2 linked regions of the Lytechinus pictus genome follow. The protein of the gene in region 1 interacts with the protein of each later gene in a biochemical or structural test. Links are inferred from orthologs where the notes say so. Each region holds a gene or a part of one and is shown on either strand. Other genes may lie near its edges. The genes, in order: AP-2 complex subunit mu and autophagy-related protein 9A-like.

Region 1 (16,228 bases):
GTTTTCTTATGTTATTACATAAAATCATATTTTTTTCATTATTTCATACTTGTGTGAATAATATTTCTCCCTTATAATAAAATAAGTTGAAGCAATAAATATCTAATGCACTAAATCAGTTGTCAATCAAATTTTTCTTGTTCTTGGAGGAAAAAATTGAATAAACCTATTTTCATATAATAAAATACAAAAGAACAAGTGGGGATGTGACATCATCAGCCCACCTAATGAATATTCATGACGACTGTTTTCATAAAATATTGCTAAACTTTAAAATTCAATAACTTTGTTATTTGTTATCCGATTTTGATGAAATTTTTGGCATTTTGCTTAGTGAATTCTACTCTATTTATTAAGCTATAAATACTTTCAGCCCGGACCATCCCTTTAAGCGCTATACCTATGGAGACTTCAAATATGCCGTATTGGTGAAGTCATAAAGATGAAAGGCAAGGACTACTCTGCCTTCTCTCAACCAACATTTTATAACTAAGGCTGCATTCCAAAATACACCAAGATAAATATAAAAGACTCAAAAGGAAAACTAAAAAGATTACAACACCACTGTGATCTCTTGGCATTGTGGCGTGCGCCTGTAGCCCAAGATACATATGGAAGATACAAACTGATGGAGAGTTTTGAGCCCTTGTCATGTCTATCAGATGGTGAAACAAAGCCAGGTCGGTCCCAGTGCTTCATGCGTGGTGTAATTCTAAAAATATCAGCAAGCGCTTGGCGCTCTCATTAGATGGCTATGGTGAGATATGTATGCTCTTTGTGAATTCATAAAAAATAGTCCCTAAAAGTCAAGTCCACACCCAATTTTTTTTTATTAGAATCAATAGAGAAAAATCAAACAAGCATAATGCTGAAAATTTCATCATAATCGGATGTAAAATAAAAAATTATTATATTTTAAAGTTTCACAAAATGGTTACGTGTATATGCACATCACAGTGATATGCAAATGAGAGGTGATGATGTCCCTCATTATTTCTTTTGTTTTTTGTTTGAATTATACAAAATTTCATTTTTTATAGATTCGACAATAAGGACCAACTTGACTGAACCATAAAATGCTAAAACAATGGTAATTCCACATGTTCAGTGAGGAGAAAACTGTTTTACAGGACAATGAGGAGCAAATAAGAATATTGGAAAAAGTTTCATATGCACCCCCCACCAAAAATAACAAGACTTCCGATTTGTTCACTTCAGATTTTTCTATCATTTTTTAAATGTTGCTTACCTTAGTTGGGACTCGAACTCACCTCATTTAATCTGCAGTCAAGACCTCTTCCCACTTTGCTAGCGAGAAGCGCTGATACCGGAATGGGAATTTTAACAATTATCAGCCGATAGTTCAATTAGTCTGGACTCACAGACCCTTTACTGACTAAATAAACCAATGTCTATGGACATTCTGTCAAATTTGACAGAATAAAGCCATATTTTGGTATGTATTTCCACTCCCCCATCATATATGTTCTATAATAGGGCTACATATATTATTCTAAACCTTATCCATGTTTTTATTTCCAATTTTAGTGGGGAGTGCATATGGGACTCTTATATATCATATTTCATATAATAAAATACATAATAGTAAGTGGGTAACGTCATCAGTCCCCTCATTTGCATACCGACCAGGATGTGAATATATTTTTTTTAATGAATTAAGCGAAACTTGAAAATGTCATAACTTTCTTATTTTACATCTAATTTTGATGAAATTTTCAGCATTATGCTTGTTTGATTTTTCTTTTATTCAAATCAACGTTTTGTTGGGGTGGACTTGTCCTTTAATAATCATCTCTCATTGAAATACATCTGTAAAAACCTCACAACACACACTGCATATCCCGATATGCGTGCTGTAGCCTTGGCGAAAAACAAAGAAAACCAGATGGCGACGTAAACATCGTGGCAAGTTTTCCCCATCTTTTCATTTTTATGATATTATTCGACCGATGCAAGTATTTCACGATTCATGATATTTATCGGCCGATGCAATTTATTTTTTAATTTAAATTGGCAGCTACATGTATACACGCGTGTGGTTTCTAGGTATCGATAACAAAGACATCAAGATGGCGACAAAAAAAGACTGGATAAGTCAACGCTCGTGCTCTTAATTATTTTTCATATTTACTACTATCTATTGAATAAAATATACAAACATATTAAATTTGGGGGGTAAATATTGTTTTGGCCCATGTACGTTAGTTTGGGCTCAAAATCCAAAGCAAAACGTGTGATTTAGGTCTAGTTTCACCATGGGAAAACCTACGGTGTGTAGAGACCAATGGCTAACCGAACCCACCCATGGGTTCATATCATCTCGCATGCGAAGGAATATCAGTCATATGCACGCGACACACACGACACATCCAAAATATACTGGGCTTTTGCCCACATAAAATATCACGCATAATCTGGTATTTCACATTCTGCTATGACACTTACCGAATCATTTAGATCCTTCCGTGACTTCTCCTTGAAGTTTCTTTTAAAAAATGTGTATGTTTTCTTGATCTTTAGTGAAGATTTCACGGAGATACAAATTGGTCAGCGTGGATATCAATTTTCGCCTAAAGAGGGCGCGCGATTTATATTCATATCAAAGACACGACAAGGGAAAGACTAGGCACCTACACTATTTTACACGCAAATCTACGCAAGGCATTACGCGAAGTCCGTGAAGTGTCCAATCTTTTCATTGTATAGACTTTGGTATACCGTATTATTGACGTTCGTTAAAGCTTGTACTGCTGGTTTCGTTCCAGGCATGTGTATTTTTTTCAATTTTTTTTATTAGTCATCGTTGTAAATTAATTGCAAAAAGTGTTATCATCGCCATTAGTAATCTTGAATTATGTTTTTGAAGGTATTTCATTTATTGGTGCCCATAATTAGTAAATTAATCATAAGAATTGCGCATCCAAAGAATTTAGACACAGTTATAAAATTACCAAGGAGCTGAATCAAGGTTGTGAAATTTATTAGCGCCACCAACGGGCTTCCTTGTATTTCCGTAGAAGAGACAAACGAAGTCACTTGCTAGGCCGAGATAAGCGAAATTTGCTCTTTTTGTAATGAAATTATTTCCAAATCGTATGTATAATTTTTTTATGTATTGCTACTTACCGAAAAGAGCCCCGGTGCGTAGCGAGAAGGAGTTTCGGCAAATATTACTTCAGCAATGAAGTGATGTTTGCCGACTACTTCGAAATCTAGGGTCAAACACGGTCCCTTGTACGAGGTTAGTGTATATACTAACCTCGTATTAGTGTGAGTGAACCGAACCAGGCTTCATGGAGAGTACATGTAAGCCTACGTACAGTAGGCCTAGATACTTTTTTACTCTCCAGAACTTGGCCTCCAGCCTCCACTGCTCCAGCTCAGGCGAAGTATGCACACGTTAGTGAATAATTTTTACTCTCTAGTCTCTAGGAGCCTTCTGGCTAATTCTAAAAACAGAGTTAGCCCTTGTTGTAAGTAGGGGGGAAAATACGCATTTCGCACTGCATCGTAATCCAGGGGCCTGTTACATGAAAGGGTCTTTCGTAGAACCATTCTACGTAAGAACGAGATATCGCTCAACTGTTTCACAAAGCCGATTTGGGCGATACGAAGAATGGTCCTTGGAAAGACACCTCCAGACATGTCCTACGTAGGCATGATCTTCTTTGCACACCGCCCGCCACCGTCGGCATTGAGAGAAAATTCGTTTACGGCAACCCACACTGACATATCACCTTTAAACATTTTTTGGGGTTGCACACTGATGCATTTTATCTGGGATGGTGCCAAGTTATTTTTTATATGGGGGCTAGTTGTCATCGATTTCAGGTCGTCTTTTTGCACGGCAAGATGACCAAAAACAGATGTCATTTTAACTTCTCCGGGCATTATGTCCGGGGTAATGTAGGCCCAAATATTTTTTTTAATATGTTTTCTTTTATTCTCCGTCCTATATCCCCACACCATTTCCATTAAATTTTTTTTTGAAATATCGAAATGGGCGGCACTATCTCTCTGACCCCTCATGCTTTCTCATTATAGATAATTAAACAACATGAAAACAAAAGAAATTATGTAAGGTAAAAAAAACGTGTTCATAACATTCAGCAAAAAAAAAACGATACAAAACTAAAATGTTAAACATGGTAAATCATTCATTTATTTTTATTTCATTTTCATTATAATAATATTTTTTGCTGAGATTAATTCTAATCAATGAAAATTAATTGTCGGATTTGGGCTAACTTGACTGTGAAACAGTGAAACAAAGCAAAAAATCAGCAGTAACAAAATAGCTAATTGAATTTAAGATACAGATTAGGCATTTAGCTTACGAGTCCATCACAATTATTACAAATGAAGATAAGCTAGTTCATTAAAGAAAAGATTATGGAAAGTCCATACGAAGAGGCACTTTTTAAATCGTAGGGTAGGCCCTTTCGGCCCCTATGTAATGTTAAAGCAATAATGTAGACTCTACTCCTCAACTTTGAAATGTTGAACATATAAAATTTTTATAGTTAAACCTTATATTCTTATATAAGCTTCCATAAACTTTGAAATATCAACTTTAAAGATGACCAACGTTTATGATCATTGTAATATTTAGCATTATTTCTGTAAATAGTATTTTTTCCATTGCAGATTGCACACCTTTTCTATGTTTTAATTGTTATTGCAAAGCACTCCATGCACTTGGACATGTTTGCAGCAATTTTCATATTTTCCTTGTCTTCGGTTACTCATCATGCAACCGAGGTATGTTTATACTCTAAACACTCACATTTGTATTTCTTGCGTTATATCTGACAAATAAAATAAATAAATTAGATTTTTCACAGCCACAGGCAGCCTCTCATATTTTTCTTTTTAGTCTCATACAATCAGACACTGTTGATTTTGTTTACTCCATTCAAACCCTATTTTTACCTCAACGGATAACATATTAACGCATAATTTGCAAAATCATCATTATACATAATATGTACCGTACTACCGGTATTCTATAAAGAATCAGTAGGCCTAGGCCTATATTGAACTAATAAAATGTCGAAATTACTTAGTTAAATAAATTTTTAGGTCGGACAAGGGTCTCTTTCGTTGAAATATCAACGAAAGGTGTCTCTAAAAGGACACCGTGTTCTACATAAGGGAAATAATGAAAATTTCGATTTTATCCAGTTATGTTTGTGAATCTTGAAAGTTTTTTCTCTTTTTACCCCATAAAGATTAAAGTACGCTCCATACATCAATTCTACAATCAGTAATAAATAAAACATTATTGATCCCCTTTTATTGAAATATATGATTTTATAAAAAGTCGTCATTCCGAAATAAAAGGTTCAGGTGACGATGAAGACTAAATATTTTTCCGATACTATCGATATCAAACGATGTCGCGGACTTGAAAGACAAAATTGCCTTCGTGAAACGGCAAGCGCTGATTTGTCGCCAATCTTCCTATCTTGGGAGAATGGTCCTAGGACGTTCCTACGTATCGCTCATCTCGTCATGCAACAGGCCCCAGATCCAAATATGATTCAACTACCCTGAAATACACATTACAATTCTTCCGCGTACGGTATTCATTCTGCCACAGACAGTGCCAGAATTATGCGGACGGGCACGGTACAGAGAACAGAAAGTTACTCAATTGTAAATTCAGCAAATTCTTTTCCAAATAACACACTTTAATACATATCATACATTAACAGGAATGTTGGGATACGTTTCACTAAACAAGAAAATAAATATAAATAAGTCAAAATTGTGTTTTAAAAGAAGAACACACCCACCTTTCTACCTTCACACGGCCCGGCTCTGTATCAATTCCTGTATAATGCATGCAATTAAGGCAGCGGAAGTACAGTTGGGCGGATCATGCAGTTGACATAAAATGGTCATAGATGGCGCTAAAAGAACGATCATCGTAGGTACATTGGCTCCTCAAAGAATAATGATATGAGCAGATATTTCTTTTATTCATAAAGAAAAAATAAAAATAAAAATAGATTTTAATTCGTCATGAGGACGAATTAGGTGGTCTGTCATCATTCTCCATAGAGCTAAGTAATTTCGAATAAATATCTCTATAATCATAATCATCACCATCATTATCATTATCACTAACATTATCACCCCATTATCACTTACATTAATCATGCTTTACTCATCCTTAATTTTGCCTTATTTAAACTACAGGATTCTTATTTGGGGTACCCATCAATATTTATCAGATAAATTGTTACTTTTGCAAAAGAAAGCACTTCGTATTATTTACAGTACAGCTTTCCGTTCTCATAGGGACCCACTTTTTCTAGAAAGTAAACTGTTGAAAGTCAAAGACCTGCATTTACTACAGTTAGGGCACTTCATGTATATAATAATAATACACTTCCCCATATTTTTTATGCCATGTTCCTACCCCACGAAAGTAAAGTCATTAAAGTAAGAAATTGATAATTTTTTTAATTTTTAGGCTATGGCAGCCATTTTGGACGCCATCTTCCCTGGTCTGCCTATATATTCACTCTAACCTGTATATCAATAGATCTTTTTATCCCTTTAGAACATGAAATATGCACCGAAATTGGATGTCTAGTGTGGATAGTGAGTGAATTATGTCAATTTTCTGTGAATGGCGGCCATTTTGGACACCATCTTGGATTACGGAAAACCCTCAAGGAGGATTTATGAGGACTTTTAGTATGGTATTCTATATAGACATATTCCCGGACCTATCCTGAAAAAATCAGCTTTTTACCAAAAATTTCCATGCTGTTGGCCTAAAAGTTATTTTTGTCTAGATAAACAAAAGTTCGTCTGATCAAACCCAATAGCCTGTTGGCCTTTTCTATATTCGATTGCATGTGCTCTTCAAAGCTGAGTTTATCATCAATTACAACATCCAATTAAGTCCCTTTCGGGGGTTACATGTTCAAGCGCATCATTAAAAAAAGTGTATACAAAAGCTTCCTGTCGGTCCTGCGTGTTACCAATAGAGAGTACACTACATTTCTTGGGGTTGAATTTCAGCAGCCATTTTTCTGACCAGCATTTCAGATGATCAAGATCTCTCTGGAGTGAATTGCATGTCATTCTGATCTCTTATATACTTGTTACACTCTTATTACTGAATTACATTACTTCCAGTAACAACATCTGGGAGATCATTGATATATAAAAAAAAATAACACAGGTCCAAGGACACTCCCTTGCGGAATTCCGCTATCTACATGTCCCCAACTTGAGAACTCGCCATTCACACACACTCTCTGTCTCCTTCCAACAAGAAATGCCTCAATCCATCTAACCACCTGTTCATTTATACCAAAACTACGGACCTTTTCAAGCAGTCGACGGTGAGGTACCTTGTCAAAGGCCTTCATAAAATCTAAATAAATCACATCGATATTGTACCCCTTTCTTCAAGAGCTTGAGACCACTCATCAACAACATTAAGCAACTGCATGAAGCATAGTAGAACGACCAGGCAATAAGCTCCAAAACTCACTATGAGCTCCAAAACTTTTTGAAACGGTACAGTTAGTCTTTCAGCTGTCTTACAGGAAATTCGTCTTTTGATGGTCTTTCAAAATGTAATTTATTTAGATTTTATGAAGGCCTTTGACAAGGTACCTCACCGTCGACTGCGATGAACTTTCAAAGTTCTTATTAGTCTTTCCATGATCTTTCGACAGTCTCTCAAGATTTTTGCGGAGATCACCGTAAGACTCATGAGAGATCATTGAAAGACCAGGCAAAGTCCATGGAAAGAATTCTGAAAGATCACTGCATAAAAGATCTCTGAAAGACCATTAAAATATCTCGATCTATAGGACTAGTCAAAGCCCAATAAGACAAGAAGTACCAATCAGTTTTTAGGAGTTCTTTGAGGGGTCTTTCTGAGCCATTCCAAAGGTCTTTCAAAGGTCCCCTTTCTGTGGAATGGGGGCCTTAATAAAAATGAAAAATAAAGACAATATTTCAGAAAGAGTAATCCCTCAGCTACATCATATCGAAGATTTGGCGAAAACTGACCAATATTTACAGAGTTAGAGTCATATTTGCATAATTATGATGACGTCATAACACGCAAAATTGAAATTTTTAGTACTGACGTCATTTTTATGACGTCATGATATAATTGATGATCGAATGAGACATGAAATCATATCTGTGATTTATACTCCATCAAAATAGAAAAAAGGGTCCCCATTTGTTTTGAAGAAATATATACAGTGAATTTTCAAAAAGCATGTTTTTGGCCATATGGCCTATGGTTAGAGGTTAGAGCTCGCGCGCACGCGTGCTGCAAACTTTAATGGGTGCTCATTCCTTTATTAGTGGTCGTAGAGAGTTGATTGAGGTATAAAATTGCTTGGAATTAAATCATTAATGCATTAATGATTAATGATTATATGTTACGTAATGCCGTGACGTACGAAAATGCGCGCGCAAAATTTTGAAATGCCTAAAACGTACTCAAAATTAATAATAGTCGATTTTTAGCATTTTTAAATTTCGATGCGCGCGTCATGACCTTTGATGACATGTATAGTTGACCCTTGGCCTAAAGTTTATTTTTGTAAATATGATAGATTATTAATGATCCATTATGATGATATGATAAATTTTAAATAATGTTACAAAATGGCGCCTATATGACGTCATCATGAGGCCTGATGACCTTGAAAAGCTTACTATCGCGTGTCTATGATAGCCTGGGCAGCATTTAATTGAAGGACTGGTTTATCACAGTAACAGCGATTCTATAGCCAATCAAGGAAATTTGTGAGGACTTAAAGAACAAGTCCACTCCTACAAAAACTTGATTTGAATAAAAAGAGAAAAATCCAACAAGCATAACACTGAAAATTTCATCAACTGATCAAAATCGGATGTAAAATAAGAAAGTTATGACGTTTAAAGTTTCGCTTAATTTCATAAAACAGTTATATGCACATCCTGGTTGGTATGCAAATGAGGAGACTGATGACATCATCCACTCACTATTTCTTTTGTATTTTATTATAAGAAATATGAAATATTCTAATTTTCTCCTCATTGTCAAGTGAAACAGTGATTAATTCCTCCCTGAACATGTGGAATTAGCATTGTTTAATAATATATGATTCAGTTAAGTCGGTCCCTATGGTAAAATCTGTAAAAAAATGAAATATTGTATAATTCAAACAATAAAAAAAAAAAGAAATAGTGAGTGATGGACATCATCGACTGTCTCATTTGCATGTCACTGAGTTGTGCATATCACTGTTTTGTAAAAAAAATAAGCGAAACTTTAAAATGCCATAACTTTCTTATTTTACATCCGATTTTGATGAAATTTTCAGTGTTATGCTAGTTTGATTTTTATCTATTTATTCAAATCAACATTTTGTTGGGATGGACTTGACCTTTAAATATGGCATGACATTCAATAAAATTGGCATGACCGATTTTGAGAAAACTTGGCGAAAAACATTGCTGCAAAAAAAAAAAAAAAATAGGAAAGCCAGTATCATCTCAGACCTTCCCATCCCACACAGAAGACATTATTTTGGTTGTTGTGGCGCTGGTGATCAATGATAATGATAGGTAGAGGTAAGATGTTTCTACATTTAAGGAAATGGGAAAATCTGAATTAAAAGAATATATAGGGAGAGTGAGGCAAAGGTATATATACAACGAGAGACAAAACCACAAAAAAAAATACAAAAAAATAAATAAATACGGAGAATTGTAGTCCCTTCCATGTAGAGTATAGGCATAAAAAAAGGGGGGAGGGTGCTCCTAACCTGGGGACAGGGGGGGGGGGGGTTGGGAGGTAGAACAACACTTTTTATATTTTTTTTCTCTCTTATCATTCATACATCTTGTTAATATTTCATTTTGTAATTGCTGAAACGCATTAGTATTAATTTCTAGTATCTTTGAAGTTTGATGTATAATTTGTATAATTATATTGTTATGGATTTATTGTATAATTTATAATCATGTTTCAAATAGTTTGTACAACTTGCTTATGGAATGTGAATGTTTATTTTGATTTGAGAGAATACAATAAAACATCCTTTAAAAAAAATTATGAAATTAAAAGGAAATTTAAAGAAGAGGAATGGGAAGAAAGAAGGCTGGCTTTAGGTAGAGGCAAGATGTCTCTACATTTAAGGAAATGGGAAAATCTAAATTAAAGGAATATATAGGGAGAGTGAGGCAGAGGTATATAAACAGCGAGAGACAAGACCACAAAAACACAGAAAAAAACAAGAACAATACGGAGAATTGGAGTCCCTTCCATGTAGAGTAGGCATAAAGTGGAGGGCGCTCCTTACCTGGGGACGGGGGGGGGGGGGGTGGGAGGTAGAATAAATCTTTTTTAATCATTTTTTTCTCTTGTCATTTAATACATCTTGTTAATATTTCATTTTGTAATTGCTGAAACGCATCAGTATTAATTTCCGGTATCTTTGAACACTGTAAAAACTGTGGTGTTAAAACTGACACCAGTTGGTGTTAATAGAGGACCACACCCTGAGGTGTTAAAATTACACCCTAGAGATTGAACATGACACCAAAGAGTGTAAATGTAACATCCCAAGGTGTTGTAATAACACCTATGGGTGTTAAAATAACACCGTCAATTTAACACCGGTGTAAAATAAAGTGGTGTGGTCCTCTATGTACACCGGTTAACACCACAGTTTTTGCTGTGAAGTTTGATGTATAATTTGTATAATTATATGGGTTATGGATTTATTGTATAATTGATAATCATGTTTCAAATAATGTGTAAAACTTGCTTATGGAATGTGAATGTGTATTTCATTACTTGCCTCATTATCTAAAATTCTCGAAAAACTTATACATACACGTACAAGTAAGTTCTTTAATAAACATAATATCTTTTCACAATTTGGGTTTCGCGAAAATCATAGCACTTTACTTGCAATTCTGTCTTTTATTGATAAAATCACTACTTCCATAGATAAAGGTTTTCATACTGTTGGTATTTTCCTGGACTTCTCCAAGGCCTTCGATACCATTAACCACGAAATACTTCTTTATAAACTTTCCTTTTATGGTATTAGGGGGAAGGCCTTGGAGTGGTTCAGGAGTTACCTAACAGATAGGTCTCAATTCGTATCATTTAACAACGTTATTTCTTCTACTCTTCCTATCACAGGCGCGTAGCCAGGGGGGGGGCGGTGGGGGCGGTCGCCCCCCCCCAAAACGTCCCCAAAAAGAAAAAAAAAGAAGGGAAAAAAGAGAGGAGAAAAAGGAAAAGCGAAGGAAGGAAAGGAAAGAAAGGTAGCTTTGTGGGTTTTTCCTTTTAATCTTTATTTTTTTCTCAAAACAGAAACTCCTTCACTCTTGCTCTAAATCTATATATATGAATTTTGCTTCCGCGCTGCGCGCGGTTAAATGACAATATTGCAGTTCTCCTTTGTTTCCCTCACCCTTTCTCTAACCCTGTTTTTCCATCTCAGCTATATGTGTTTCTTGCCAGTTAAAGTTCAAATATATACCGTATGGGTACTAGTATTCAACCCGGCATAATTCAAAGATTTTGACATATTCCCCAAAATATTTAGAAATAGGGAATTTATCTTAATTTCACACCTTTATTATTTCCAGGGTAATCTGTTGTCGATATTTTCTTTGTCAATCTGTCGACTGTATGCGCGGAGGATCGAATTATGCGGCGATGGCCTTTTGCACTGAATGGTACTAGTATTCAACCTAGTGAGGATTGATAGCAAATCTCAAAAAGGTTTAAATTGCTAAATTAGATCTAGAACTATGTAAGTCTCTGGCTTTGATTAATTCCCAATCCCTGTTTGGTCTCATCTCAAATGGTCTAGTTCATAGTCGGATGGGACAAGGGCAGATTGAGAGACAAGGCCATCTTTCATCGCTAGGTTGAATACTAGTGCCGACGGGTTGAATACTAGTACCAAAATCCGTCGCCGTATAATTCGATCGCCCGCGCACACAGTCAACTGGTTGAAGAAAAAAATAACGGAAAAAGAATAACCAGCATTTGCTCTTGGAAATAAGACGGGTCTGAAATTCAGGTAAATTCTATATTTCTATATATTTGAGGAAACTCTCCAAACGGGTTGAATACTAGTGCCCTTACGGTACTTTAGGGCATGAAATTAGAGTAAGGATAGACCGAAGTACATGAAGTTATCTTTTTTTAATTGGTCGCGCAAGTTGGGTCGGCTCCGGGCGAGTATAATCTTTATATCAATTTCTGCCGTCACCTCCATATAGGCAACTTCTCCCGATTTTCAGCTCATTACTATACAACCATAATTGGGGGCAAACAGGTTCCTAATTTAAAAAGAGGAAGGTATAAAATTCGTGTCGTATTAAATATAAAAAAGTACAATATTTTTTTATCAAATTCTACTAAACTTCATGTCATTTCCTACACATTCATCTCCTGTCTTGTTTTGCGCCCTCAGTTTTGAATGACACTTAAATTTCTTTATCATTCAAAATGAAGCGCATCAGGATATTTAAGTCAAATAAATTATACATCATCCTGTTTTATACAATTTCAATAAATCACAAAAGTTTCAACTTTTTGCGCACCATTTTCCTTTTAATGAAGTTCAATAATCTTAGAGGGAAAACAATTGACGAAACGTCCGCCCTAGCTTTGAAATTTCAGAGTTTCATTGCTCTGCGCGGGGAGGAATATCTTCCTCCCGGCATACATCCTTCTTCTCTGTTTTTCGAGTTAAAGATATGCACTGTCGCTAAATTGTTTGTAATCAAATCTGATCTTTCCAAGGGAAGTATTCATTACTGATAACTTAGAGAATACCCTTTTCTCGGGACCCTTTTCTTTAAAAAAAAAATGATAAAACGCTTTAGCTTCCGCACTTCGCGCGGGTTCAATATTATTTAAATTTCCTCCATTTTATCCCTTTTTTGTGCGTTCACAATTACTTTTGAAAACAAGGTTCAAAATCACGATATAGTCAACTGAATTGGGGCTGATATAGATGGATACTAGAGACAAGAGAAACGGCTCCTTTTCATTTTAATTTATGAAACACCGAAAGCTTCGCGCTTCGCGCGGGAGGGGGAAACTCCCCCTCCCTGCACCCACCCCCTAGGGAGCGCGCTTCGCGCGCTCTGTAAGTGTTCGCACGCTTCGCGTGCATTTACCGCCCCCTCCAAAATGAAATCCTGGCTACGCGGTTGTCCTATCACATGCGGAGTACCTCAGGGTAGCTTACTTGGCCCTCTTCTTTTTATTACTTATATCAATGACATTAAAAAAAGTTCAAATTTACTAACATTCATATGTTTGCAGACGACTCGAATATTTTCTTTTCTCATGATAACGCAAATCAACTTGTAAGAATATTATTGTAAACTCTGAACTCATACATGTAACTGACTGGATTAAGGCGAATAAACTGTCACTTAACCTGCAAAAGACGAATTATATGCTTTTTAGTAATAAAACACATGCATTACCTGACAATCTCATTTTTGATAACACCGTTCTTGAAAATGTATCACAGACCAGATTCTTGGGTGTTACTATTGACAATAAGCTATCATGGAAACCACACATTGATAATATATACAAAACAATTTCAAGAAACATCGGAATTATTAACAAACTCAAATATTTTCTTCCATCTCACACTTTACTTACATTATATCATTCATTAATATTACTATACATTAATTATGGCATTTTGGCATGGGGTTGTGCAATCCAAACACAATTACAAAGGATACTGTTGTTGCAGAAGAAGGCCCTTAGAATAATTTTTCAAACTAATTTCAGATCACACACAGATGTCCTTTTTTTCCAAAATAATATTCTTAAAGTGAATGATTTATATATTTTCCAACTCGCCCAATTTATATATAAACTAAGTAAAGGGGATCTCCCCACAATTTTTTCAAACATGTTCTGTAAAAACTCCTCTATACACGATTACCCAACGAGACAACGTAATTGTTATCATCTACCCCCAACCCGTACTCTATCAGCAAAAAACTCTTTCGTCTTTTTTGGACCAGTGTATTGGAATTCACTGCCCAATGACTTTAAAGAATCACCAAGCATTAATATTTTCAAGCGCAAACTTAAAAAGATGCTAATTTGTCAATACTCCACACCAACAAGTCAAGCTAATATATAACTGTAACTAAACGTGTTTAAACCTAACATTTAATTATCAATAAATTTGTCTAATTATATATTCTAAATAATGTCACTACAGTGCCCTATGACATGTGTACCTGCCATGTTCCTCCTTCCATTTTCAGCTTTATTTGCACCACCCTTTTCTCGCTCTCTCCTTCCTTTGCCTCCCTTTTTCCACTCTTATAAATTCTATTAAAAAATTTATCATTATTATCGTTATCCATTACAATTATTATCCTATCCTTTCTTATTATACTTTCCACTTTTTGTTGTCGCTTATCCGCTCTATTTTGGTATTTTGTAGATTATGTATTTTAATTTCGTTTTCCGTCCGTCTCTTGTATATAGGTTATGTTACGTAGTATTGGAACTAAGTTTAGAGACTTGCCTTTTTTTACAAGCTCTACTTTTCTTGGCAAGTCCTTCCGTTCAGATAATTTATCTTCAATATTTGTTATGAAATGTTAAATAACTGTATGTATTATTTTGAGTATGTATTATTTTGAACATGTATTTACACTGGATTATATCATTTGTTTGAACGGAAATAAATAAATCTAAAATCTAAAAATCTAAAAAAAAGATGATTTGAGAGAATACAATAAAACATCCTTTAAAAAAAATTATGATGATGATGATGTTGATGATGATGATGATGATGATGACGATGATTTTGGTTTTTGTGGCAATGGTGATCGATGATAATGATAATTATGATGATGTTGATGCATGATGATGATGCATGATGATGCATGATGATGGTGATGGTGGGGGTGACGATGATAATGATGAAAATGGTGATGATGATGATGATGATGATGATGATGATGTTGATGATGAATAATTATGATGGTGATGATGAAACGCAATTTGTGTAGCTCCAGCTATGTTAAATAGGGGGAGAAGTGCGAAAAATAAATTTGTATATATTTTACCAGAATTTTTTATATAGACTTAAATGAAAAGTGGTGATTTTTAAAGCACTTATATTGAAAAGAAGAATACGTCATTGAACATGACCATACAAAAAATCCCAATTAGAATTAATGGTCATTTTACGTGTTTGTACACTGGTTTGAAAGGGGGAGGGGGCTGAAGCCCCCTCCCCCTTCCCCCACCCGGTTCCGCGGCCCCTGATATCATGATTTGAAGAAAAACAAGTAGAGCGCCTCTGGCCGTCTCGCCTGCATTACACGATTCAATATATCAGAAGTGCTGACTTTGAAAACGACTTCAGAATAATCATTAAAAAAAAAACACCATTCATAATATCATGATAATAAAATACTATGTTCACTGACCCTAAATGACATTTGACCTTGATCGTGTGACCAAAGACTTGTGCAAGACGATCAGTGATACTTGATTACCCTAATGTCCATATTTTATGAACTAGATCCATGTCCATATTTTACGAACTAGATCCATGTCCATATTTTACGAACTAGATCCATGTCCATATTTTATGAACTAGATCCATGGATCCATGTCCATATTTTATGAACTAGATCCATGTCCATATATTATGAACTAGATCCATGTCCATATCTTATGAACTAGATCCATGTCCATATTTTATGAACTAGATCCATGTCCATATTTTATGAACTAGATCCATAAACAGTTATGGTGGCAATTCAACAAATATCCCCCAACAAGGCCAAAATTCATTGACCTTGGTCATGTGACTTGAAATTCACGAAGGATGTTCACTGAAGCTTGATTACTCTTTCATGAACTAGATCCATATATTTTCAGACTTATGAAGATTTTGTTTTGATTCCCCACATAATCTTAAGTTCATTGACCCTAAATGGCCTTTGATCTTGATATGTAACCTGAATCTCAGGCTGGGTATTAAGTAATATTTGATATATCCAAGTTTCATGAACTAGGCCCATATACTTTCTAAGTTATGATGACATTTCAAAAACTTAACCTTCGGTTAAGATTTGATGTTGACGACGCCGCCGCCGTCGGAAAAGCGGCGCCCATAGTCTCGCTCTACTATGAAGGCGA
Region 2 (16,317 bases), on another chromosome or scaffold:
TGGAATGAATCAATGAATCAATCAATCAATCAATCAATCAATCAATCAATCAATCAATCAATCAATGAATAAATGAATGAATGAATCTTTATTTCGTTTCAATTCCGATATTAAACACCATCAACAGTAAGTATACTAAGAAATGATACATGTACACACTATAATTGTTAATTTGAGATTTACATACATGTAGTCTTTGGTAGTGATCCCTTTCAAACAAAATAATCGGCCACTAACTTTCATCCCTGACGTTGATTTCTTTCGAACCTTCACCAGTCTATTCTCATTTTCCCCTCTCACACACATCGTTCTAAATTATCAAGGTTAGATCCCCCTTTTACAACAAGATCTTTATTAATATTATACTCCATTTTATATCACGAATACAATCAGCATATCTGCTTAAAGAAAATGAGAAAAATTCTTGCAAAGGATATTCTTGTGAAGAATTCATCTAGATTCTCAATGTGATTCCAGCGTGCTATAATGAAGAAAGACAAAGAGATAATGAGAGTGACGGACTCCAAACAAGGGTTACATACACACTCTAAAAATTATTCACTGATATAAATGAATAGGAATCCGAATATGTGACATGATCACATGAATACAAAATGAGATCATTATATTTCAAATCAATTAACTGCTCTTCTAAATCCCTTTTTTAAATTCAAAACAGCTTCAAGTATTACAAAAGTTACAGTTTACATGCTTACATTTCTTTTATTTCAAAACAGGAAGGGTGCAACTTCAAAAGTTATTTGCAAAGAAGGAAATCATCTACAATGGGTTCTTTTGTACACAGAAAAATGTGTTTACTATGGCCAAACTCTTCGATGCATAAAAATTGCTACTTTTATCTGAAATGGTGGCATCTCTCATCCCTGTACAGTATTTGATCTGTATCATCTGTTTATATTTTTTCACTAATGCGAGCAAAGCTGAAAACTTTGTCTAGAAATCACATTGAACTTAGAAGAAAGAATGTATTATCCGGGCCCTGTGACACAAAGTATAGCAATTGATCATAGGGCTGCTTATTATGCTTGATTAGTACATTGTCCATTATGTGCAATCAAACATACAAATCAATTGTAAGATCAATTGCTAAAGTTTTGTGATACTGGCCCCTGGCAGTGTACCTTTTCCAGAATCATGAACAACATGGAGCATGACGTCCCTATCCTCCGGCGCGTCGTCCTCGACAGTCTCCAACCGTCTATACTCTGTTTGAAGGGCAGCCATCTTGGAGGGATCCCTCTATGGTTCTCTCCTTCCACGCAAGATTCAAGTCTCTCTTCGTTTCTTCTTGCACATTCAGTATCACATACAGGATTCAGTTTATTCAGTTGATGCTGTTGACGAATGCTTGGAGGTGTAGCTTATTATCATCCTGTAGGCTCTACACTGTAGTCTGGACTTGCTCCTCAAAACCTCCGCCTTGCATGTGCAGGTCTGCACAGAAGTAAAAAAAGCAAATTATTTAAATCAAATTTGTTTTCTAAAATCTCAAATTATCGCCAAAGCAAAACTTCATGGTGTGGATAGTAATAAGAGCATCCAAACTATGCTTTGAAATCGTGAAAAGCTACATCTTAACTGTCCAAATCTGTAAGGAAAAAATTTCATTATCAAGACTTAATCAAATTTCAACATACAAAAGATTCAATTAATTTTTACAATTATTGACAAATAGAATTTTAAGAGAATCTAACAGATAGTAGACCTACATGTATTTGTTCATGCAATGTTATGTACAGGTTCCTGGAATAGAACCTACTGTACGTGTAATTTGTCTGAAGTGAGCAAAGTAAGCACTAAGCTACATAGCTGCATAGTCAGTAGACAATTCTGTAGTGTTGATGTCAATGAGCCAATAGACAACAGTACTACTCGGTCGGAGACATCGCATGGTCTCAGTTGACTGTTTTCTACAAGCCTACGTGTAGATGGCAGCATAAACATCCATCCTGAGCAATTGCTCTCAAGGTTCCTTAAAAAAAAATTGGTTTATAGCATTTCGCGAAAAAAAGTAGATCATCTAATATTTTGATAATCGTTTTGTAAAATGAATGACACAGAATGCATAGTCTATAGACAGGCTCAATTTTACCATCTGCTACAATGTAGCTGCGTGCCTGCAGGAAATGGTTTTAACAGGCATAATTAATAGATCATTTTATTCTTCTGTCTTTACTAAAAAAAATGAAGTACAAATCAATCATTAAAAAACAAAAACAAAGTCAAAGGTAAGAATGAAGAAAAACATTTAAGTGAAGCAAGTAAAAATGAATTATCAACCTTCAATTTCAGTCTTGAATCACAACCTTCTGCCATGTCGGCAGTTAAATAAAAATGTTGCATGGTGTCATTGTCAAGACAGTCATCATCATCATGTCTGATCATATCCTATCAAAAACTTAAAAAATCATAGACATACATGTACCGGTAGTCTTGTAGAGTAGAAAGACAAGTCAATTACAGACAATAGTTATCACTTTATTTTACTAGTTTTACTAGTTTAAGTTTTAGGCGCTAGTGTAGTTTCGCACCTCCCCGTTTAATGGTTTTCAAACATGTACAATCTCACCCTAAATAATTCACAACCTAAAATACTTGCATCTGAGCCTCCAAAGTCCAGTAGAAGTTGAATATTTGCCGTTTTGACACTTTTTTTTTACAAAGTTTTACACCTATTGCGGAATCACTCGGTCGCTTGAAGCTCAGCGCTGCACATAAGCAGTCGGTACGCGTACAGTATGTACCACCTAGTGAAGTGCAAAAAGAGCGAGTTTTTTTATGGTATCTTCAAAAAGATTTTTTCCCCTCTTTCAGCTTGCACCAAGTATTACGGTAGTGGTTGTGCAGAGTGGTTAAATCTACGTGTATTCACATTTTTCACATTTCTTATTTCATTCAAAAAATCACACACACGCACACCCCACACACATACCTTCACACAACAAACATCAACCACTCTGCACAACCACTACCGTAATACTTGGTGCAAGCTGAAAGAGGGGAAAAAATCTTTTTGAAGATACCATAGAAAAACTCGCTCTTCTTGCACTTCACTAGGTGGTACGTACTGTACGCGTACCGACTGCTTATGTGCAGCGCTGAGCTTGATCAAGCGACCGAGTGATTCCGAAATAGGTGTAAAACTTTGTAAAAAAGTGTCAAAACGGCAAATATTCAACTTCTACTGGACTTTGGAGGCTCAGATGCAAGTATTTTAGGTTGTGAATTATTTAGGGTGAGATTGTACATGTTTGAAAACCATTAAACGGGGAGGTGCGAAACTACACTAGCGCCAAGTTTTACTTAGTCTCACTCCCACTCTTTACTGAATGACAGCACTGGCAGTGCCTGCACTCCAGTAAAAAGTGCTGACTTTTAATTTTAGACAGCGCAGAGACTGGAGAGTGCTGTCTCAAATTCTCAGACTCAGAGTATTCTCACTTCATTCTCACTCAGCTCAGTCACACTCAAAAGTCTCAAGTCAGACAAAGTCATCTCTCTCTTGAGTCATGTAATATCCTTCCTCCATTCAGGTCGGAGATCGAGCCAGAGCTCGAGTCAGACTCAGAGAGTCAAGAGTCAGAAAGATCAGAGCCAGGCAGAGACACTCACTCACTCAAGTCTCAGCTCACTCATGGGATCAATGCATCTCGCGTGCGAAGGATTCATATGCACATGGTGCACGCGAATTTTTCACACCCTTTTTACTAAAATAACTATGCCATTCCTTTTAAAATAATGTTTCTAATTGTGCTATGACACTTACCGAACCATATGGATCGTTTCTTGTCTTCTCTTTGGTGTGTTTTTAAGAAAAAAAAAGCATTTTCTCGTGATCTTCACGTAGATACCGCAGGGTCATCGTGGTTGTAAACTTTTGCTTAAAGAGGGCGCGCGATATTATTCACAAGATGTTTGTTTACGGTTCTGCAGCTTGTACTGCTAGCTGCATTTTAGACGCTCAGCATTATTTTCCTCTTTCTGTTTTTTTTTTGCTGTCAAGCGGTATTTTCTATTGTAGCGCCATCAGCGATGATGAAATGTAAAGAGTCGCCTTGAAATGAAGAAAAATTATGTCACATTAATTCGTTAGTTTGTTTCCTATTTTTTTGCACTTTTTTCTTCTTCCTCATCTATGATCAAAGGTGAATACTTTTTTTTGATATCTGTTTTAAAAGCTGGACATTTTAAATATTTTGTTCAAGTAAATAAATCAACAGGATAGTAATCAAAATGCGATAGAGCTGCCCGAGCTGAAAATTCTGATACAAGGACTTGAAAATAAAACATTCTGAGCACTTTTTATAACCATGATGAGGAGACCTATATATATATATATATATATATGTATATGAAATAAGCTAACATGAAAAAAAGACGTTTTGGGGACTGTTAAATAAGAATTCACGAGTGGGATAGGTAACTATCTATTCTATTCTTGTTCGTTTTCTATTATTATTTGTGTGTTGTGTTTATTTTTCTTGAAGCACCAAAAGGTGGACATGTCCGCTAAGATATATTAACGAAGTCACCATTATTATCACAAGCTAACGGATCAAAATGCGAGCGTGAAACGTGAGCTTCTTTTTTTCTTAATTCAGTCTTAACGATACTTTTTCATCATATTTTAAAGGTGAATCTCATGATTCAAAATGATAAATGCTTGTCGCACGGGCAGAAATAGCGGGACCAATAGTTATTTTCAATATTCCGAACTGCATTCTGGACGTTGTATAAGCGCCTTTGTATAACAATTAAAAGGGTAGGCCTATTTACCTTACAAATTATGCGAGCGCTGAACTTTTGGACATTTAAACCTCAACAAATGGACATTTTTAAAATATGAACAACATCATAAATGTCGCTTACAAAAATGATGCCAGCGCGAAGCTCACGCTTAGAGTTTTTGATATTGATGACAGGACTGTATCTAAGTGAAAAATAATGCGAGGGCATTTTCGCTTAAGATTTAAATTTGGGATTTGAAAAGTCCGACAGATTACCTATACTTTTAAAAGAGGAATGACCTCCAGAATTCAAGCGCGAAGCGCCAGTAGATTTATGTTGAAGTTTAGACCTACAACAGGAACGTTGAACCTTTATAATCATGAAAAAGATGGTATTTTTATAAATAAAACATGGGAGTCTAATTTTGTTTTAGTGTTAATATTCAGATCTTCAAACTTGACATTTTCCTATCCCCTTCATCATCCCCTCTCCTTCTCCCTTTCCCCATTTTCGTTCTCCCTTCTTTTCTTCTCTCCCTTTCCCTTCCCTTTTTCGCTTTTCCTTTCCCTTCTTTTATTTCCTTTCTCCCTCCCCTACTCTTTTCTCGCTCTTTCCATTTTTCTTTCCCTCTCCCTTCCCCTCTTCCTTTCTTTTGTTTTCTTTCTATTTTATGGTCTCCTTTTCCCTCTCTCTCCTTTACCTTTCCCCCTCCCCTGATCCGTCTTTTCTTGTCTCTCCTTCCCTTTCCCGCCCCCTCCATTCCCTTTCTCGCTTTTTCCTTTCTCTTCTTTTCTTTCCTTTCTCCCTCCCCTACTCTTTTCTCGCTCTTTCCATTTTTCTTTCCCTCTCCCTTCCTCTCTTCCTTTCTTTTGTTTTTTTTGTATTTTATGGTCTCCTTTCCCTCTCTCTCCTTTACCTTTCCCCCTCCCCTGATCTGTCTTTTATTGTCTCTCCTTTCCTTTCCCGCCCCCTCCATTCCCTTTCTTGCTTTTTCCTTTCCCTTCTTTTCTTTCCTTTCTCCCTCCCCTACGACTTGAATCGAGAATGTTCGATAGGAAAATTTCGCATTTCGATTGTTGTTTGCGTAATTTCCACCGCAGTATGAGGATGACCAAGGACGGATCAAACGAAGTATCCTGGTTGAGATTTGGAGGTAAGCGATAAAAACACTTTACTTTAGGCCCTAATAAATAATTTATAATTCCTTTTTCAAATATACTTTAATCATACGATCAAGATTAACATACCGGTACTTTAGTGGACAAATATTGAATTTGAAAGGCTTGGCGTAGTTTAGTCCCTCACATTCGTGTGATGAATGAAAACGTCAAAATGCACTATGTGAAATCACATGTGTTGTGCGAGGTTAGTAATACTAACCTCGCATGTTGTGTGAGTGGTCTCAGCTCAGCTCACTCATCTCATTCTCACTCTCACTTCTCAGACTCAGTCACTGACTCAGTCAGAGACAGAGACAGTCTCAGTCTGAGTCAGACTCAGAGTCAGAGTAGACAGCTCGACAGGGTCAAGTGAATAACAACACTTCGACAAATGATTCAAGAATCAGCTATTCATTGTTATGAATTCAGTCAGAGTACAGAGATGTAGATCTACTTGCCTGTATATTAACGAAATTTACAATAGAAAATCTAGTCTGTTTAATGCACTGTCATTCAGATTGGCGATAAACTTCCCCGATCGACGGTCGATCACCCTTGTTTTTGTTTTGGTCTTCGAGAATAGAATCCTTGCTCAATCTGTAAAATAGTATTATTTTTTTAATATCAAAATGAATTATAAAATATTTGTATGCCTTGAAACTTGATACAAAAACAATTTTATTAAAATAAATTTATATATTCAAATAATTTTCTTGCCCATCTTGAAACATTACACATTAATAATGTGATTACAAATAATAAATAAAATGAACGAGGTGAATTATTTGAAGTTTTAGATTAATTTTTGTTTACTTTCTGAGTACTATTCACATTTTCACGGAAATCCTGTATACAGATTAGTAATCGATCCGTACATTCTTGTTAAAATTTTAAATAAATATAGTCTTTAAACATTTTATGAATATCTTTTTTTATTTTTTAAAAATTATTATAGTTATATTTTTTTTAATACTTGGGATTTTTTATCGAATAATAAAATAAAAAATTATCTAGAAACTAATTGGCACTATGATAGAAATTGTACAATAAAAATTAACGCTAGTAATCAACCTGATATTTCATTTGCCGGCCGTCGGCGGTCAAGTTCAATGCTCTTCTTCGTCGAAAAAACAGGTAGGAATACTTGATGTATACACATTTCCATGGATTTAAGTTCATATTATCAATCGCATAAAATAGACATCCAATAGAAAATTAGGCAGTTGGGGTCGACTTTGTCTTTGGAATAATTCAGTCATTTGCCAAATCATGCTTCAGAAGTTCACACTTCATACTCATAGTTCATGCTTTGCTCAGTCCCATTCGTCTGTTTTGGCGTCGGTCATCTTGGTTTATGCTAGACCAAAACTTTTTTTCAGAAGTTATAGGGAATTTCTGTAACTTTTAAGTAATTTTTATTACGTTTTACTTTTAGGACTTGAAGATCATTTATGTGTTTTTAATGACAAATTAAGAGCTTTCTAAATTTTGTGGTCCAGCTACCACTACACTCCAGGAAGTGTCATGTGTGGGAGCCGAAAGAAAGGAAAAGAATGAAAGAGAGGGCCGAGGGAGAATAGAATCAAGAATGAAAAAAAAGAAAATAATGGAAGGAGAGAAAGAACGACAAGAAAAATGAGAGGAAGGGAGAATTTTGCAGAAAGAAAGAATGAAGATTGATCATTGACATTGTCATTGACATTGATGATTGAAGGAAGTTAAAAAAAGAAGGAAAGTATAGGCCTAATTAAGACTAAGTAAGAGAAAGAAGGAAATAAATTAAAAATGAAAAGAGAGAGAGAGAAAGGATCAGGAAAGAAAACTAGGAAAGATGGGAACTATAGATAGGCCCTAGATGGAACCAAAAAAAGGCAAGCGGCAAGGAATTTGAAGGAAGAAGGATAGAAAATAAAGAAAAAAGAAAGGAAGAGGAAAAAAGTTAAAACTTCAAGCAAACAAAAAAGAATCCAATCATCTAACAAAAATCTCAATGATTTTTGGGTATGAAATTTTATTAATATAAAAATGAAAATAAAAACTAAAATGTTTTACATGTACTAGGCCTATGTAGAAATAAAAAACATGTCAAAGTGAAACATTGTCAAACTTAAAAAATTAGACAAAACATTGTGGCATTTATACACACAGGCATGCATCTCATCCCATTACAAGTTCGCACCCGGGCCGATCACAACAAGACTCAAAACGAAAGCTGAAACAATTGGATCTAGTTAATGAAAACTCAATAACTTGCTCCTCCGATCACATCACCAAATCAGTAATCTGAGAATCCATGACTATAATTATAAAAAATTCCTGCCAATTTTGTGCCAAATTTGGTGGAAAAACTGTTTATCATGTAAGATTGTTTGCACCATTGAGAATCTGCTCCGATCCTACATGCAGGGCTCGACATTAGCAGTGGCCCGGGGCAACCAAAAATGAGAGTCGGGCCACCAAAATTCTGTAAAAGCCAACACTTGGTGGCCCAGTCGGGCTACCAAAGTTTTGATAAATTGTAATGTTTCCTATTGTTTTAGGGCCACCAAATTCACTTTGCGGGCCACCAAAAATATGAAATTGATGATTTTGGTGGACTGATCGGGCCACCAAGAAAAAAAGTTAGTGTGGAGCCTTGCTACATGCCTAGGTAAACAGGCAGGAGGCCAGTGGAAGCACATGCATGCAGCAGCTAGTACATGTATGCTTTGTGTTTGTGTGTAGATCGTAGAAAATATAGATCTACATGTACGTAACTATTAGTTTGCAATGAATTGGGTAGCAAGAAAATCACTGCAGAATTTGCAAAATTTACAATTAACAATTGTATTGTCGTCCCTGATTTGTCATCTGTTGGTTATTAGATGAAAATTCTTCACTTTTCTATGTATTAATTATATTTTGTTCAATATTCTGAAAAAAGGGACAAATAGGCATCCAGGGAAGGGTTTGTCGGGACGACGGGACAAAGGAGCAAAATATGGGACGATCCCAGGAAATACGGGACGTCTGGTCGTCCTGTTTCAGGCCAAAACGGAATAATAATCTTTATTTTGGTCTAGTTCTTTTTATATATTTTTATGAAATAAAGACAAAAATCGATGAGCAACGTCGGGGGGATTTTGCATTGTTAACCCCCTAATGGCGGCTGCACAATCGCAAGCCGTCTGTGTATGAGAAATTTTAAAAAATGTTTAAAAACTCCTCGAAACAGATGGCTGCCAGCTGTCGACATGTAGGTTTGTGCCTGTCCCAGGGCCCAGTTTTTTTTACATTGATCATAATGATTAAAGTGTTTATATGTTTCAATCATGTCACTCCTAACCTTTGATACGCCAGAGTTGGGATTTTTAACTGTTTTAGTCGTTGCGGATAGGAAAGCTTCCTTAAAGGACAAGTCCACTCCAACAAAAAGTTGATTTGAATAAATACGAAAAAAATCCAGCAAGCATAACACTAAAAACTTCATCAAAATCGGATGTAAAATAAGAAAGTTATGACATTTTAAATTTCGCTTAATTTCACAAAACAGTTATATGCACATCCTGGTTGGTATGCAAATGAGGAGACTGATGACGTCATCCACTCACTATTTCTTTTGTATTTCATTACATGAAATATGAAATATTCTACTTTTCTCCTCATTGTCAAGTGGAACAATAATTAATTCCTCCCAAACACGTGGAATTGGCATTGTTTAATACTATATGATTCAGTCAAGTTTGTCCTTATTGTCAAATCTGTAAAAAAATAAATATTGTATAATTCAAACAATAAAAGAACAAAAGAAATAGTGAGTGAGGGACATCATCGTCTGTCTCATTTGCATGTCACTGAGTTGTGCATTAGTGCTGTAGCCGAACCGCCGAACCGAACGGTAGTTCGCCGAACATGGCACTTCCGAACCGAACAGAACCGAACCGAACACTAAGACTTGGTTCGGAAGTTCGGCAAAAAAAACGGCTTTCAGCTAATAAATTTATAAGTTTACACCCTTTCTAATCATTATATTTGCGCATTCTCTATTTAATCTTCTTTGCAATTGTATGCGCTTATTTTGCGGTTACTAGATTTTGTTTTCATTTTCATGTTGACATTGTGGTTTTTACGGCCCTGATAAAGAGAGGAGATCCGATGAACGATGTTGCGCGAGCTTGCGCTATAATAATTTTACTGGCTTTCATCATCTCTCGCTCTGTGGCCGAATCGCCAAAGCATGGTAAAGAAAACCAAAACTGTTTGAGTGTTCATTGGTTAAATCTAATTATCTAAAATATTGTTGTTTTTAGGTGGCGAACAAGATTCTTGTTTGAAAATCTTCAAAGTATTTTGAATGAACGAGCTCAATAAACTGAAAGTGAAAGATGAAGTACCATTAATATTACGAATTACGATACGATGTGATTAAGATCGTAACTCGTTTATTGTTGCGGCGGAGAATAAAGATCTGATTGAGGTGATTTACATTATTATTGAGGTGTCGGCTCGCTACTGTCTAGTTTTCATGATTTTAGAGAGAAGTAAAGAGTTTTGAAAACGAGAGATCCAGTGAAAGTGGGAAATAAAGTGAGTGACTGTTAGAGATGGAAAGGAGAGACGCAAAACAAATAATATAGAAATGAGATGAGGTGAAGTTATCTTTTTTATTATTAACAATCAGATGAAAATAAAAATCAAACACTCATGAATGATAACGGTATAGAATATAGCAAGATCCCCTTCCCCTCGTTGACAAGTTAGATGAAGATAAAGCCATGCGGAAACATTCATCTCTTGGGGGAAAATGACCCCCATTCTTTACTTTTTTTTCCCTTTCTTATCAACTTCTCAAATTAACCATAAACAATTCGATGATCACTCTACTCCCCCTATCCCATTACAGTCGTAAAACTTTGCATCCCACTTGGTCTGTATGTTTATGGTCGAATGAAATCTGACCAATGAAATCATAGAAATCTCGGGAATTGCTCTTCAATCAGTGAGCTGAGTTTCGCGAGCAGACAAAGCACGTGGCTGTATGTACCGATGCGACAATCAGCGACATGCGATTGGTGGTTTAGTTCACCCATCGAGCCAATTAGCGAAAGGCGCATTACATAAGCACGCTTTCTTCGACACGCCCCTGGCCCAACTATGCCTACAGTTCAGTGCACTGGCGCTGGCCGCCTCCTATGTGATGCAATTGCCAATCACGTTTGGACGGACTGTATATATAAATATTCATGAGCTCAGAGTCCCGCTACAAGGGGACTGCATGCGCTGGCATGGCCTAGCTGGTACGAGTGCGAGCGTAGTTAATTTGGCAAGTATCCAAAGTGTGGTCCAGGTATGGACGACTAGGAAGAGTCGCCATTTTAGAACTGTGAGTTACCCAATAAACCTGTCATCAGATAATCAAATTCGAGATAACAGTTGATTCGTTGAGCGCTATAACTTTCATAGTTTCATGTCAACAAGATAGAGATAAAATGGTTTGATGTGACAGAGGTACACGCGAGCACATGCAGTCAATCAAGTACAAATTGCTACCAGTACGCTACGTACCTGAATGAACTATAGCTTTATCAGTCTATCATTACCGAACCCCGAACCGAACCAATGTTCGGCAAATTTCTGCCAAACCTTGCCGAACCGAACCGAACCCGAACATGGCGCCTGACTTGCAGCACTATTGTGCATATCACTGTTTTGTGGAAAAATAAGCGAAACCTTAAAATGTCATAACTTTCTTATTTTACATCTGATTTTGATGAAATTTTTAGCGTTTTGCTAGTTTGATTTTTCTTTACTTATTCACATCCAAAATTTTCTGGGGCTGACTTGACCTTTGATTCAGGGACTATGAATGAATGAATTAATGAATTAATGAAGAAATAAATAAATTACCGGTAATAAATGAATTAATAAATAAATAAATTAATTAATTAATAATGAAATAAATAAATAAAAAGTAGAAACTTGACTGCTTAAAAAAAATGCCAATATCGGACATACATTGTAGATCTACATATGTACTTTCCAAATTTCAGACACATTTAGCGTTACACATCGCTTCCAGCAGTTGAAAAGCTTAATCATGCTCTAATTACATGAATGATTGCATTTTATGCTGAAATAAAAAGTCATCTTTACAATTGCTATGGAAAGTAGTTGCACAATTGATGGGCCAATCGCTCTGCATGGTTTCAATTGTCTTGATGCTAGAAATTAAAAAATCTCACTCTCTTTTGTTTTATTCTTCCTTTCAATTCTTCACAAAGCATGTGCTCCCTTGCTGAAGGACCTCCCCCTCCTGCAGACGGATGTATCACTGTCTGTGAAGAGAACGGAGATTTGGTCACCATTCATGCCAGCAATGCCCCTGTAAATTACACACCAAGGATTGCTGTAAGTTAGAATACTATACAATTATTCAGGAAAGTTGGACGTACACCTACCTGCTTGTTATCTGCATGTTTTCATTTGCCCATTTTATTTCTCATATTTTGGTGGTTGTTCCCCCCCTCTTTTTATATTTATTGGGGTTGGACGGTGAGGGAGATTTTTTTTCTTGATTTTATGTCCTACAGCTAAAGTAACTTATTGATACATGTATGGTCGTAATGCTTTTGTATTATAGCCTAATGAATATAGTCTGTATTTTTTTTTTCATTTTTGTTGTTTTCATTTTATTTGGAAAAGGAAAGTGTATACAAGGAATTATTTTGATTTTTAGATTTTATTAGTTGTTGGTTGTTTGGGAATCAATAATCTATAATCAGTTTCTGTAAAGTCTAATGTAAAAGCAAACATTTTGACTAATCAGTCATCTAAACAATGCATCACATTGCTAGGCGATGCCAGGAAAATTGTTTACAGGTATTCAAAGAAATATTTAGAATTCATCAGTTGAAAAAGAGAAAAAAATAATTTTTAATAAATGATTTCATGACTCCATGAGCATTTACAAGGTGCCATCAATATTTTGTCAAAAAAATGTATTTTTCTAACATATTTTATTATTTTCCCCTAGGGTTTTGAGTACCCTAGCATCAGCACCTCAACCGAGACCCTCTGCTCCCTGGCGACAGATGAGGCAGCCCAGTCTGCCTTTCAACCTCATGTTGATGAAGTATCGCTTTGGAAACAAGCTTGGTACACTTGCCGTGTTCATGGTGTGACAGAGATGCTGGACGAACTCTCTAAAAATGACTCAGGTATCGGTGTGTTTTGAAAAATTTTACTTTTAATTAAATCATTTATATCACAGTTCCTTTGAAGAACATTCTCCAAATGGCCTGGAGGGGTACATGTAGTAGTCCTCTTGGAAGTTTTCCTCTGGGGAATCCATACTCTGGGGAGAGTTGTTCTAAATGGGAGCTTATCATTTCTAACACGAATCCCATCAACTTCTAAGGGCACACTAGGGATTTGTCCTCTTGAGGAGTTGTCTCCTGTGGAACCTTTGCTTTGGGGAGATATATTCTCAAGGGAAGATTTCTCCCGGGGACAGAGTGCCTTGCAATTATTTAAGTTGTGAGTTTGGAATCATGTGTGTGGGAGTCATCATTATAAGATGTATATCAGATACATTTTCATTGATTTAATGGGAATGTGCTGAATAATTTTCGCTTTGAATTAGATTGGCCTTCCAATTTCAACGCAAAGTATCCCTTTTGCAATGCTTAGATTGTATCTACACAGAGATACCAGTCTCCAATGTGGTACCCTATTTCAGGCCCTGACAATTTCCCATGTTAGGCATTTTCAGGCAATATTTCAGTACAGCACTTATGGAAATTCAATGTGTTCTGAGGCCTGTAACACAAAGCTTAGCAATGATCGTAGAAACACTTTCCTGCGATGGATACCATTGACTACAATACACAATCAATCGTGAAAATCAAGCATACAATTAATTGCTAACCTTTTGTGTTACGGGCCCCTGGGGAGCATTTCATGAAAGGATTTGTGGATGTTTTATCCAACAGTTGCTGTAGTAACGGTGCTTCTCTGCCAATCAAAATCAAAGAAGTTGCCGGATCTAGCATCTTGTCGGATGAGAAATGTTGAAGAAATGCTATCCTGGCTTCTTTTCAGGCCTAGTCAGCAAAAACGATTGGCAAATCATTTATTTAGGTACAGAAACTATATATTTTCATTTAAAGACATGGTCCAAGCTTCCATTGATCATTTAACAGAGTTTTTTTACCTCCCATTATTCCTTCACCAGCTCCTTGGCCTATCACTATGCTTGCCTGTGGATGTCGTAATACAGTGACCTGGGCCAATTCATTCAGAGGCTCTCTCTATCCTCATTTGATGGTAAGGTTGTCTTCATGGTAAATTGTCACTTGGTCTATACCCAATTTGTATACTTTCTATTTGGTCTCATCCCGCGTGGTCTAATCCTAGTTCGTTCATAGCCAGTTCGTCTACCAGCCATCAATGTGTTGTGTTGTGTAAAGCCCATTTATCACTTTGTCCACTGAAAGGCACAATTAAAATTTTGTAATGTAAAGATGCCGTTAAAACAGAAATGTGCCCCCCCCCCCCCCATTGAAAGTGAAGACCTTTTTTTTTTTTTTGATTGTCAAATTTTTCCTCGGGAAAATGTGCCCCCCCCCTTTCGAAAAATCCTGGATCCGCCCCTTTTTTACTGTACATGTCTTATCTATGAATTTCCACTTGGTCTAACACCCTAATAGTCAACAAGAATATATACGTACTTCGTATGAACCAAATTTTCATTTGACAAAGTGAAAAATGTGGAAATTAGACCGTCTGGACATGAGACCTATACCTCAGTCACATTTCCCCTACTGTGGCCATACGGCGACTCGAAAACAGCAGTTTTAACATTTTTTTGTACCAGCTACATGTAGGTGGTTTGAATCAAAATGAATAAAATGGCTGTCTTCGACTCGCCGGAGGGGAAATATTACTGAGGTATGAATGACAGTTTAATAGACTAAGTAATGGTTGGACCAAACGGATATTAGACGAAGTAGGTTTAGGCATGATGGCGTTAGATGATCTGAGAATTAAACCATCTACCTGTAGTCGAAGTAGATGCAAAGTTACAAACCATTTGAATTGCTTGGAATAAAGTTTCATTTATTGTAACTCATCACCCAATTCCTTTTTTTTTTCAAACTTGCAAGGGTAATATTCTCAAAGTTGTCAAAGTGTATTCTTGTTTCCTGATAGAATGCACATGATGGAAAATTGTAGTTCATGCTATTAAAATTTGTCAAGGAATAGAAACTTAAAAAGGCCTTCTTATGTAACAACAATATTTGTTAAACGTTTATTGGATGTAGTTTATGTTTGTTTATGTTTACCTGACGCAATTTGATTCAAAGATTATTTAGCATTTACTAATGAGGTAGAGACAACCAGTGAATTTATCTGTGTGTGCATGTGTCTCCCCCCGTCCTTTTTTTTCTTACTCTCTCTCTCTTCTTCCCCACTAATCTCTCCTTCCCTCTCTTCATTTTCCTTCTCTCCTTTCTCACCTCTCCCTTTTTCCTTTCCTCCCAGTGGCTACTCTGTTTATCTCTATCTGTCTATTATCCCTTATGCCCCCACTCTCTCTCTCTCTCTCTCTCTCTCTTTAGCTCTCTCCTGATGAGATGATCAACGAGTTCAGTGCAGCCAAGGACTGGGATGAGAGTGAGATCAGAGCCTTTGCATGGCACCAACACACCAACAAATGTGCTGTAGCCTGGAAAGATAATACTGTTAAAATATTCATATCAGGAAGGTATGTGGTATATCAAAGATGGGCTGGTAAAACCTGGTGGCCCGTATTCTGAAGTCAGGTTTAACTGGGACCACGGTCTAACTCTGTGCTAAAATAACGGGAAGCCAAATGGTTCAAAATATTGTTTACAGTGAATGCTTCTCATGTTTACTGTGCTCCTTACTAATTCTCTAATGGTGAAGACAACTGTCATACTTATCCTTCCCAGGCAGTCAATGTTTTGGGAGTCAAATGAGCTGATACATTGAACCTCAACTGTTATAGATTTATGTAACAACCGGCTTTCCATAGTTAAACCACAACTTAAAACCAGAGTTTAAATTAAACTCGACTTCAGAATACGGGCCTGTGTGTCAAATCTTGCGAACATCTCAGAAAAACCAGTGTTTCAGAATTATAGCAATGGTAGGAACCCTATATTGTCTGACAGCGGTCTCCTAATTCTTGTAGGTAGCTGTTTCAAGGTAAAAGAAGGTTGCCACTTCTGAAATATTTCTAAATAAAGCTTTACTGAGCTGTTCTTTGAAATGTTAAACTTTGAGACACAGATGTAGTTCTATCCTTTAAAGACAACCATTAGTTCTGGTCATGTAATTAAATTTCTGCTGAAAATACATGTATCTCATGATGGTTATTACAAATTGTAGAATATGATCTACCTAT

What was found.
Region 2: the proteins of AP-2 complex subunit mu (region 1) and autophagy-related protein 9A-like interact in a biophysical measurement, tested with the Homo sapiens proteins (4 studies listed by BioGRID and IntAct, with this or other methods). The link is inferred for Lytechinus pictus from reciprocal best matches to the Homo sapiens genes AP2M1 and ATG9A.

The regions. Positions count from the first base shown.
Region 1 is NC_087258.1:28,019,542-28,035,769, reverse strand, and holds the start of AP-2 complex subunit mu, read right to left. Parts: upstream 5,933-16,228; 5' UTR 5,820-5,932; intron 1-5,819.
Region 2 is NC_087257.1:16,390,900-16,407,216, forward strand, and holds the start of autophagy-related protein 9A-like, read right to left. Parts: upstream 6,504-16,317; 5' UTR 6,368-6,503; intron 1,456-6,367; 5' UTR 1,246-1,455; coding exon 1,143-1,245; intron 482-1,142; coding exon 438-481; intron 1-437. Other genes in the region: aladin-like, read left to right, coding at 12,171-12,296, 12,922-13,105, 14,122-14,213, 15,509-15,654. UniProt on the Homo sapiens protein: Phospholipid scramblase involved in autophagy by mediating autophagosomal membrane expansion. Cycles between the preautophagosomal structure/phagophore assembly site (PAS) and the cytoplasmic vesicle pool and supplies membrane for the growing autophagosome.